2 linked regions of the Neurospora crassa OR74A genome follow. The protein of the gene in region 2 interacts with the protein of the main gene of each other region in a pairwise test. Links are inferred from orthologs where the notes say so. Each region holds a gene or a part of one and is shown on either strand. Other genes may lie near its edges.

The links. The genes of interacting proteins can lie anywhere in the genome.
Region 1: the proteins of NCU04637 (region 2) and NCU08499 interact in binary tests that used the Saccharomyces cerevisiae proteins (3 or more experiments, as listed by UniProt). The link is inferred for Neurospora crassa OR74A from reciprocal best matches to the Saccharomyces cerevisiae genes RVS167 and GYP5.

Annotation. Positions count from the first base shown.
Region 1 is NC_026502.1:3,459,289-3,463,265, forward strand, and holds the start of NCU08499 (GTPase-activating protein GYP5), read right to left. Parts: upstream 2,807-3,977; 5' UTR 2,185-2,806; coding exon 1,960-2,184; intron 1,814-1,959; coding exon 1,471-1,813; intron 1,406-1,470; coding exon 1-1,405. UniProt on the Saccharomyces cerevisiae protein: GTPase-activating protein which accelerates the GTP hydrolysis rate of YPT1 and SEC4. Involved in ER to Golgi trafficking and polarized exocytosis.
Region 2 is NC_026505.1:1,375,528-1,379,805, reverse strand, and holds the start of NCU04637 (BAR adaptor protein RVS167), read left to right. Parts: upstream 1-1,466; 5' UTR 1,467-2,182; coding exon 2,183-2,218; intron 2,219-2,376; coding exon 2,377-3,718; intron 3,719-3,795; coding exon 3,796-3,821; 3' UTR 3,822-4,278. Other genes in the region: NCU04636 (cysteine desulfurase), read right to left, coding at 1-515, 588-858. UniProt on the Saccharomyces cerevisiae protein: Component of a cytoskeletal structure that is required for the formation of endocytic vesicles at the plasma membrane level.

The DNA of each region.
Region 1 (3,977 bases), on a different chromosome or scaffold from region 2:
AGGAACCACTGCGTGGCGTAGAGGTGAGGGGAGATGCCACGCCGATGGAGGTGGCAGTAGAGAGCGGGCTCGAGGTCCTCGAGTATGCGCTCAAACTGGTAGAGGCACTTGTGCAGACCGGGCATGTCCTGGATAAAGAGCTCGCGAAGGTGGTATTGGTTCATTAGTCGTACCAGCAGGCAGAAGGCCTCCTCCTCGGGCATGTTGAAGAGAAGAGGCATGACGAGGAAGTTCATGCCTTGGGCATAGCCGACGGCTTCGTCAAAGAGAGCATATGCCTTGCACACGCCAAAGAGGCCCTCCTGAAGCCCTTGGGCGGCGGCAAATTTGGAATAGCTCGTTCGAGCGCCCAGATCCCTTCTAATGACCTTTTCGAGCCTCGACAACATTTCCTTATCTTCCTTTTCCTTCTTCTTGCGCTCCGCCGCGGCAAGAGCCTGGGCCTTGGCGAGGGCTTCCGCGTCTTTCTCTGTCGGAGAAGGAGCGCCGGTTCCGTTGGGCCCAGATTTTTCTGAGTGAACTGACGAGGCAGAAGAGGGCGTATCCTTGCCGCTCGGCTTGCCGCCGTTACTCAGTGATATTGAGGCATTGCTCTGCCTGTCAGTTTTCCTCTCCTTGTCTGTGCCCCTCGCAACCAAGTCTCGGTAAACCGTTTCCAGTTCCTCATTCTTGCTTTGTGCCAGAACTTGCCAGATGACTCCACGAATGGCGCTGGGGATACCCTTCGCGATGGCCTCCTTCAACTGCTCAGGGCTTGTCCGAGCAACAGCTGCGGGACCTTCGTACACAACCGTCTGCCACAGATCCCAGTCCACAGGAGTATCGGAGCCCGCTGGGCCAGCAGTGACCCCGGATGCGGTACCGGGTGCGAGAGCCGGGTTGGGAGTTGGTGGAAGCGGCGACGGAGGGGGTTGGACTGCTTCCTTCTCCTCCGGGGTAGAGCTCTTCTCGTCATCGTCTCCCGTGGGCGCGCTGCCCTCCTCTCTTAGGCGCAATTGCTTGAAGCGATCCTTGAGAGTGTTCTTATTGCCCTCCTCGTCAACCTTGCCTAACGTCCCATCGGGGTTGCTGGAGAGAGTAGCAACAGAGCTGGCGGTATTCCGTCTTGGAGCCGTTGCGGCGGCTGGCGGTGGGGGTGGGTTGGCTTGCTCCTTTGATGAACTCCTGGACAGCCAGGAAAAGGGGCTGGTTAGTTTTCTGGTGACGGGAGGCGGTGGTGCCGGAGTAAGGGCTGCGGGCGCAGGCGCAGGAGGAGCGGCGGCGGCAGCGGCGGCAGCGGCCGCGGGTGGGCTTTTTACAGCTTCGTCGGTAGCGGAAGGTGACCACGGCATGGCGGGCAGGGCACTAGCTATACTGCTTATTGACAGCTTCTTGGTTGACGAAGGCGCCGTATCAAGGGATTTTTCTGGGTTCCCTTGTCAGTACAGTCTGGTGGGTTTTGCTTGGCTGTGCGTGCAGCTTCCAACGTACCTGTTTTGTCTCCAATTGTAGAATTATCGTTTAGGCTTACATCGTCCAGCGATGCAGCCGAGAAAGCGGACGCCTCTGAAACCTTGGAAGCATGCGAGATGCGGTGTAGCGACTTGCTTTCCTGCTCCTGTGCCGGGGTCTCGAAGACGTCTTCCTGCTCCTCTTCCTTGATCTCTGCTGTCTTGGGAACTTGGGGTGTCTCTGTGGTGTGGGAGCGGGCGTCGTGGTCGGCGTCGGCGGCGGCAGAATCGTCCATTGATGGGGAGCGCGGGCGGTGAAACGAGGAAGAGCGTTTTGTTAGGGACCTTACGGAACCTGTGTCGATGGCATCTTCAAACGTATCCTGCATGATGGGCAATAATCATGATTGTGGTCGCTGGTCAGCACTCGCTCGTATAGTACAGTACTCTTGTTGCTTTGGGTTGCACTGCCTTGTACCTCCCTAGGGGCAGGTAACATGGTAACTTGAGGAAGGAAAGGGAGACTTACGGTGTCCTTGTCGTCTGGGTCGGACAGGTTGGTGGGAGCGAGAGAGGCTGGTCGCTGGTGGTCGGGCTGGGAGTCCTTGTCCTTTGTCTCTGTTACGGGAGAGGAAGCAGCGTCCTCTTTCTCGTGCTCGTGGGTGACCTCCTGAACCGTCTCCGTGGGCATCTCTTTGGTAGCGACCGCCTCGTGGGGGGCAGCAGCCCCTTCCTGTACTTCGGATGCCGACATTTCGGTTGTTTCTTGGGAGGTGGAAACCCAAGGAATAGGCACAGGCTGCTCCGGCTCTGGACAATATACGAGGCGGCGACACAAGGACAGGCGAGAGCGGGCGACAAGTAAGGTGGTGGTGGTGGGTGCAGTGAGTGGTGTGTGGTACTAGAGGTAGGTAGGTAGGTAGGTAGGTAGGTAGGTAGGCAAGGTAGTGGTTGTTGTTTACGCGGCGGAGCGACTGGCCATTGATAAACGGAAATACAAGCAAGCAAGTGCGTGGAAGTGCTGGCTGGCTGGCTGGCTGGCTGGCTGCTGGATGTTCAATTGGCGGAGAGGGACGGAGGGAGAGAGAGACAAGACACACACCCCTCACTCACACAGCTGCTCGACTACTCCAGTCGCTTTCCACTGGTCGACAATGGGTGATCAATGACGGGGGCAAGTGCTGCAAACAGGGCCGCTTAAAGACAAGACAAGACAAGACAGGAATCACTGGCAGTACTACCTGTTGTTGAGAGTCTGAGTGGTAGGTGCCTAGGTGGTCTGGAGGAACGGGCAGGTCGACTCGCTGCCGCTGCTGCTGCTGCTGCTGCTGCTGTTGTCGTGATACGAATTGTGTGTGTGTGTGTGTCTGTCTGTGATGTGGGAGGGGAGGAGTCTGGGTGCAGAATGATTGATGCTTGTAAGTGCAAAATGTCCATGGTCGGTCAGTGTGTCGTCCCCTGAGAGATTTCGGGGTACACAGTACGCCAAGCCTGCACTAACTGAGGCTCTAAAATGGGCCGATGTCAAGTCGCGGGTACCTAGCAGACTAATCACTCCACCACAATCCACGCACTTTGTTTACCGTACTTTTGTCATTGTTCACCGCACTTGCTCGTGTGCTCAGGGCCACCACGAACTATTACATACGGGATCAGACGGGTACCTACTATCAACATGACAGACAGGGCATACATTACCTAGGTATCTCACTCTACACTAGTATATGGTAGACAGCAGCTGTCAGTGTTGCAGCCCTTGAGGTTCCTGCGTTACACTCACCCGCCGTACAGTAATATACATACGTATCTCTATGTACAGCATAACAAGGAACTCCCACGGCATTGAGATGCAATTAAACCTCCTTCTTTTGTGCTTATTCTCTCCACACACAAAAAGTCGATATTCAGGTCAAAGCAACTGAAGCCACCCGATCAAATGTGAGGCCGCAAACACGTTCACTCCATAAACATTCGCCGGCCATGATTCGATGCACATCCTTCATCGGCTGGTTGGCGGCGTCTATAAAGTGCAAGAGATGGCGCGTCCACAGCGGGACAAAAAGTCTAGAATAGAATGGGGAACATGGGGGGGTTTCCCCAATGGTATGCGCAGCGGTTTTTCTGAAACGGATGAGGGGCATGGATCTGCCGAAATGCGCCAATCATCGGCAAAAATGCATTGGAATGTCTTGAGCTTTTCGCCGTTTTCTTCCACCCTCCTTTCCACTTACATACAATGTTGCAACACCTCCTTCACCACCTTCTCCAGAGTCCAGACACACGGCATAGGTACATGGTTCATCTGATAAACTTCAAATACCAGCCATGTCTGCTTGATCGACAGCGGAAACCCCATCGACCCAACCCAGAGCATTGGAATCCCCACGATACCCGTTTGCCTCAATAAATTCCCAAAACATCATGTCAAAGACGGCATTGCCCATTTCGCCAAAACTCGGCCACGAACAAGGTTCGGGATCCGCCTAAGCCCTCGCTCGCCTTGCCCTCTCCTTTTTGTCGAAAATAGCCAAGAACCGAGATGCCGTT
Region 2 (4,278 bases):
TTGGATGACACCAATTTCGTTGTTGACAGCCATGATACTGACGATGGCGGTGTCGGGACGGATGGCAGCCTCCAGCTCCGCCATGTCGATCAGGCCGCTGCTCTTCACTGGGAGATAGGTCACTTCGAAACCCTCGTCCTGGAGATGCCTGCAGCTGTCGAGGACACACTTGTGTTCTGTCTGGCTGGTGATGATGTGCTTCTTCTTGCCGGACCGGCCAAAGAACCTAGCGACGCCCTTGATACTCATGTTGTTGCTTTCGGTGGCACCGCTGGTGAAGATGATTTCCTTGGGGTCAGCGCCAATCAGATCAGCAATGTGTTTCCTCGCCTCTTCAACGGCCTTGTCAGTCTCCCAGCCGTAGGCATGTGTCCTCGAGTGGGGGTTGCCATAGACGTTGGTGAAGTAGGGCATCATGGCATCGAGCACTCTGGGGTCGATGGGGGTTGTGGCCTGCATATCCAGGTAGATGGGACGCTGTCCCTCATCCATCACGGTAGCATTGCTGAGAACATCTAGTTGAGTCAGCAACGAGGACGACTGCGCAATATGTCTCCGAAGAGGTGGGAGGTGATGATGATGCTTACCAGCCATGGGGCTGACGTGTTGGCTCGAGCCATTTTGCGCGCTTATAGTGAGGCCCTGCTTCTCCATCTCCCTGTGATCCAGCTTGATAGCATGCTCGGCCTGCACGTCGGCGTTGTTCCTCTTGGTCTCGGTCACATAGCTCCTGGAAGCAGAAGCAGTCTTGACAGCAGCCGCAGTAGTCGCCCGCGACAGCACACGCGCGCTGCGGAGAGGAGCGGCCGCGGCCAAGCGCGATGCCTGTCGCAAGACGGACGGCGCAATGGTGGACATGGTAAAAGGAAGAAGAAAGAAGGAGAGGAAAAGAGAATATGGTGGTGAGGGTGATGGCGGATGAGGGAGAAAAAGTTCGTTTTGTAACCAAACCTACAAAAACGGATGGAGGCAGCGGGCGGGGCGGCTCAAAACACACTCAGAAATTCAGATGGAGCTGCCGCCTCCCGCTCTTCGGCGGTCGGAGTGGAATTTCCGCCATACAGAAAAGAACAAATCGAAACAAACGGCATCCGCACGCGGACTTGGCCTCGGAGGGGTCGGTGATAAAGGAATGTGCCAATGAGGGGCGACAACCAACAAGGTTTGGCACTTTGATTGGTCATTCTGCCATCGGATGGCCCCACCTGTTTCTTTCTCGGACATCGGACAAGCGCGTATGTACGTACGGCGAAAATGACGCTGCTCCAAAATGTTAGAGAATGGGCCGCCGGGCATGACGGAAACTGAACGCTCGATGTGCACCGCGGCGACTGACTTGACAAATACAGTGCGGAATGTCCACTTGTGAAACGGACTCCGCGGACGCATCTGATCCATCATTGCACAGAAAGGAAGAGCACTGACCCGGGGCAGGCATCCATCTGTTCTCTCAATCGGCATGTCCACTGGGATGAAAGCTACACTACAGCGGGCCCCAGACCCAGTCGGTCTACCCCGTCGTTCCAATTCGTTCCTTTCCGGGGTCTCATCGACCAAAAGCAGAACAACCGATGACGGTACCTATTTACCTCCTCGGTAGTATTCTGTTTCCATTCGCATTGGATGTCTGCGTTGGACTATAACTTGAACCATCAGTGACATGCCATATAACCGCCGACAACCTACTTGAATTCCATTTACACTGCTAAACTATTTAGTAGCATCTTACCTCTAGGACAGCTACCTCTAGCTACTTTACCTCCTACCGTTGAAGACCGAATCCTCCCCGAGGAAGTTTGTCGGACCTCGAACGGAACTGCTGACAAGGGTCCGACCGACGGGATTCAAGAACAAACCGAAATCACAAGACGCCTAGACAAAAAGACTTTTCACACTACATCTTGGAACGAGGTCGCTGTGTGCGGCGTGTCCAACATTCAGCAAATAGCAGCGCCACGCAAACCGTCGCAAGCTTCGCTCAGCCAAGACTTCGTCCACCAGCCAAACGACCTGCACCGCCCCCCTGCCCACCCCCAGCGTCATCACCATCGTATCCGGATCCGACTTGAAGAGGGCACTCGACCACCGATTGCCTTCAACCTCTCCGAACAGCAACCCGCTTTGCGCATCTCCATACAAACACCGAATACACATCAGACATCATACGGCTTCGTAGCAGAATATGAGCTTCAGGGGCTTCCAAAAAAGCGTGGTCCGCGTAGGTTCTGCCCCGCATACCTAGTTGATCTCACCTCCCCTAGTTTCGGTTACAGCGTCATCATCACTTCCGCCCTTCCCGTCGAGTCCCCCGTCTGTGGCAGAAATAGCGCCGAATCACTCGGGTTGGCAAACAGGCACTAACACGACAGAAACCAGGCACCACAACAATTCAAGCAAAAGTTTAACCTCGGCGAGCATACCAAAGACCCTGTCTACATCGACTCGGAGCGCAGATTCCAGGAGCTCGAAACCGAGACCAAACGCCTTCACGATGAAAGCAAAAAGTACTTTGAGGCCATCAATGGCATGCTGCAACACCAAATCGAGTTCTCAAAGGCAATGACCGAAATCTACAAGCCCATCAGCGGCCGCATGTCCGATCCCGATTCGCTCGTTCCCCATGGCAACTATGAGGGTATTGCCGCCTGCGAGGAGTACGAGGCCGTTGTCAAGGACCTGCAGGAAACACTGGCGCCAGAGTTGGAAATGATTGAGGCTAGGGTTATTCGGCCAGCGAACGAGCTCCTCGATGTGATCAAGGTCATTCGCAAAACGGCCGTGAAGCGCGAGCACAAGAAGCTGGACTACGACAGACACCGCGCCACCCTCAAGAAGCTCCAGGACAAGAAAGACCGGTCGGCAAAGGACGAGAAGGCCATGTGGAAGGCTGAGAACGAAGTTGAGCAGGCCACGCAAGAGTACAATTACTTCAACGATCTGCTTAAGGACGAGCTACCCAAGCTGTTTGCCCTCGAACGCCAGTTCATTCAGCCGCTTTTCCAGTCCTTCTACTACATGCAGCTCAACATCTTCTACACCTTGCACGAGAAGATGCAGCACTGCGACATTGGCTACTTCGACCTGACCCTGGACATTGAGGAGGCCTTTTACGCGAAGCGAGGTGACGTCCAGGAGCGGGCTGAGGCTCTCTCCATTGTCAAGTTCAAGACCACGGGTATGAAGCGACCGCCCAAGTACCAACGTCCAGGCGCTCTCGAAGGAAACAAGCCAGCAGGCCTACTTACAGCTGGCTCCTCCACGACCACTTCCACCGGTCCGCCTGAGGCGGCTCCCTCAGTCACAGCCCCACGCCCCTGGGAACAGCAACAACAAGCTCCTGCCGTCACAGCACCGCGACCTTGGGAAACCCAGGCGGAAACAGTAGAAGCGCATGCGCCGCCACCGTATTCGGTGAAGCCGAGCACGCTACATGCTACGCCCGCCTCCTACGCCGCTCCAGTTGCCAGCCCGAAACCCTCGTCGTTGTCCATGGCGGCGGCTGCAAAGGCCAAGCCCCCACCGCCGAAGCCCAAGCCCAAGGCCCTCATGGCGGCGGCACCCAAAGTAGAGACCGTCACAGCGCTTTACGACTACTCGGCGCAGGCGGAGGGCGATCTGAGCTTCCGTGCCGGTGATGTGATTGAGATAGTAACAAGGACTGCGAACGAGAATGAGTGGTGGATTGGAAAGTTGCATGGAAAGCAGGGTCAATTCCCAGGTACGTACTGTACTATTTCTTAGGGTGCTTGCTTTGTTGCGAGCTGGATATGTTCTGACACAATGGTCTTTTGCTAGGAAACTATGTCCAGTTAAACAGCTAGAGGATACAAGGCTACTTGTAAATGTAGTTATCAAAGAGTTGCTTTCAGCACACTTCACTTCTCAGCACGACTTCAACCTATACCCCTTTTTTGTGGACCCGTTCATGGTCGAGTTATTCATTTGCAACCACAACACGGATTCTTTCTAGTTCGTCTACATCGTACCAGGCCGTGACGTTCTGTAGCAGGGCCTTGGTGATCCTATACGGATGCAATGATATGCGGCAGGTGACTCTGTTGAGAATAGTCAGGCAGGAGGAAACTCCGTCGCGAAGGAGGACCTGCGAGGAGCGTGGAGCGAGAGGGTCCCGGGTGTTTGCGTCTAGGGAAATGGCGGGTGTATTGTTTTGGAGCGAAGGAAGCAACGGAGTGAAAAGGTCACAGTGCATTGGGTCAAACCTGGAAGTTTTGATTAGATGCGTTTTGCCATGATCGCCGTCGTGGTTTGTTCCCTTTA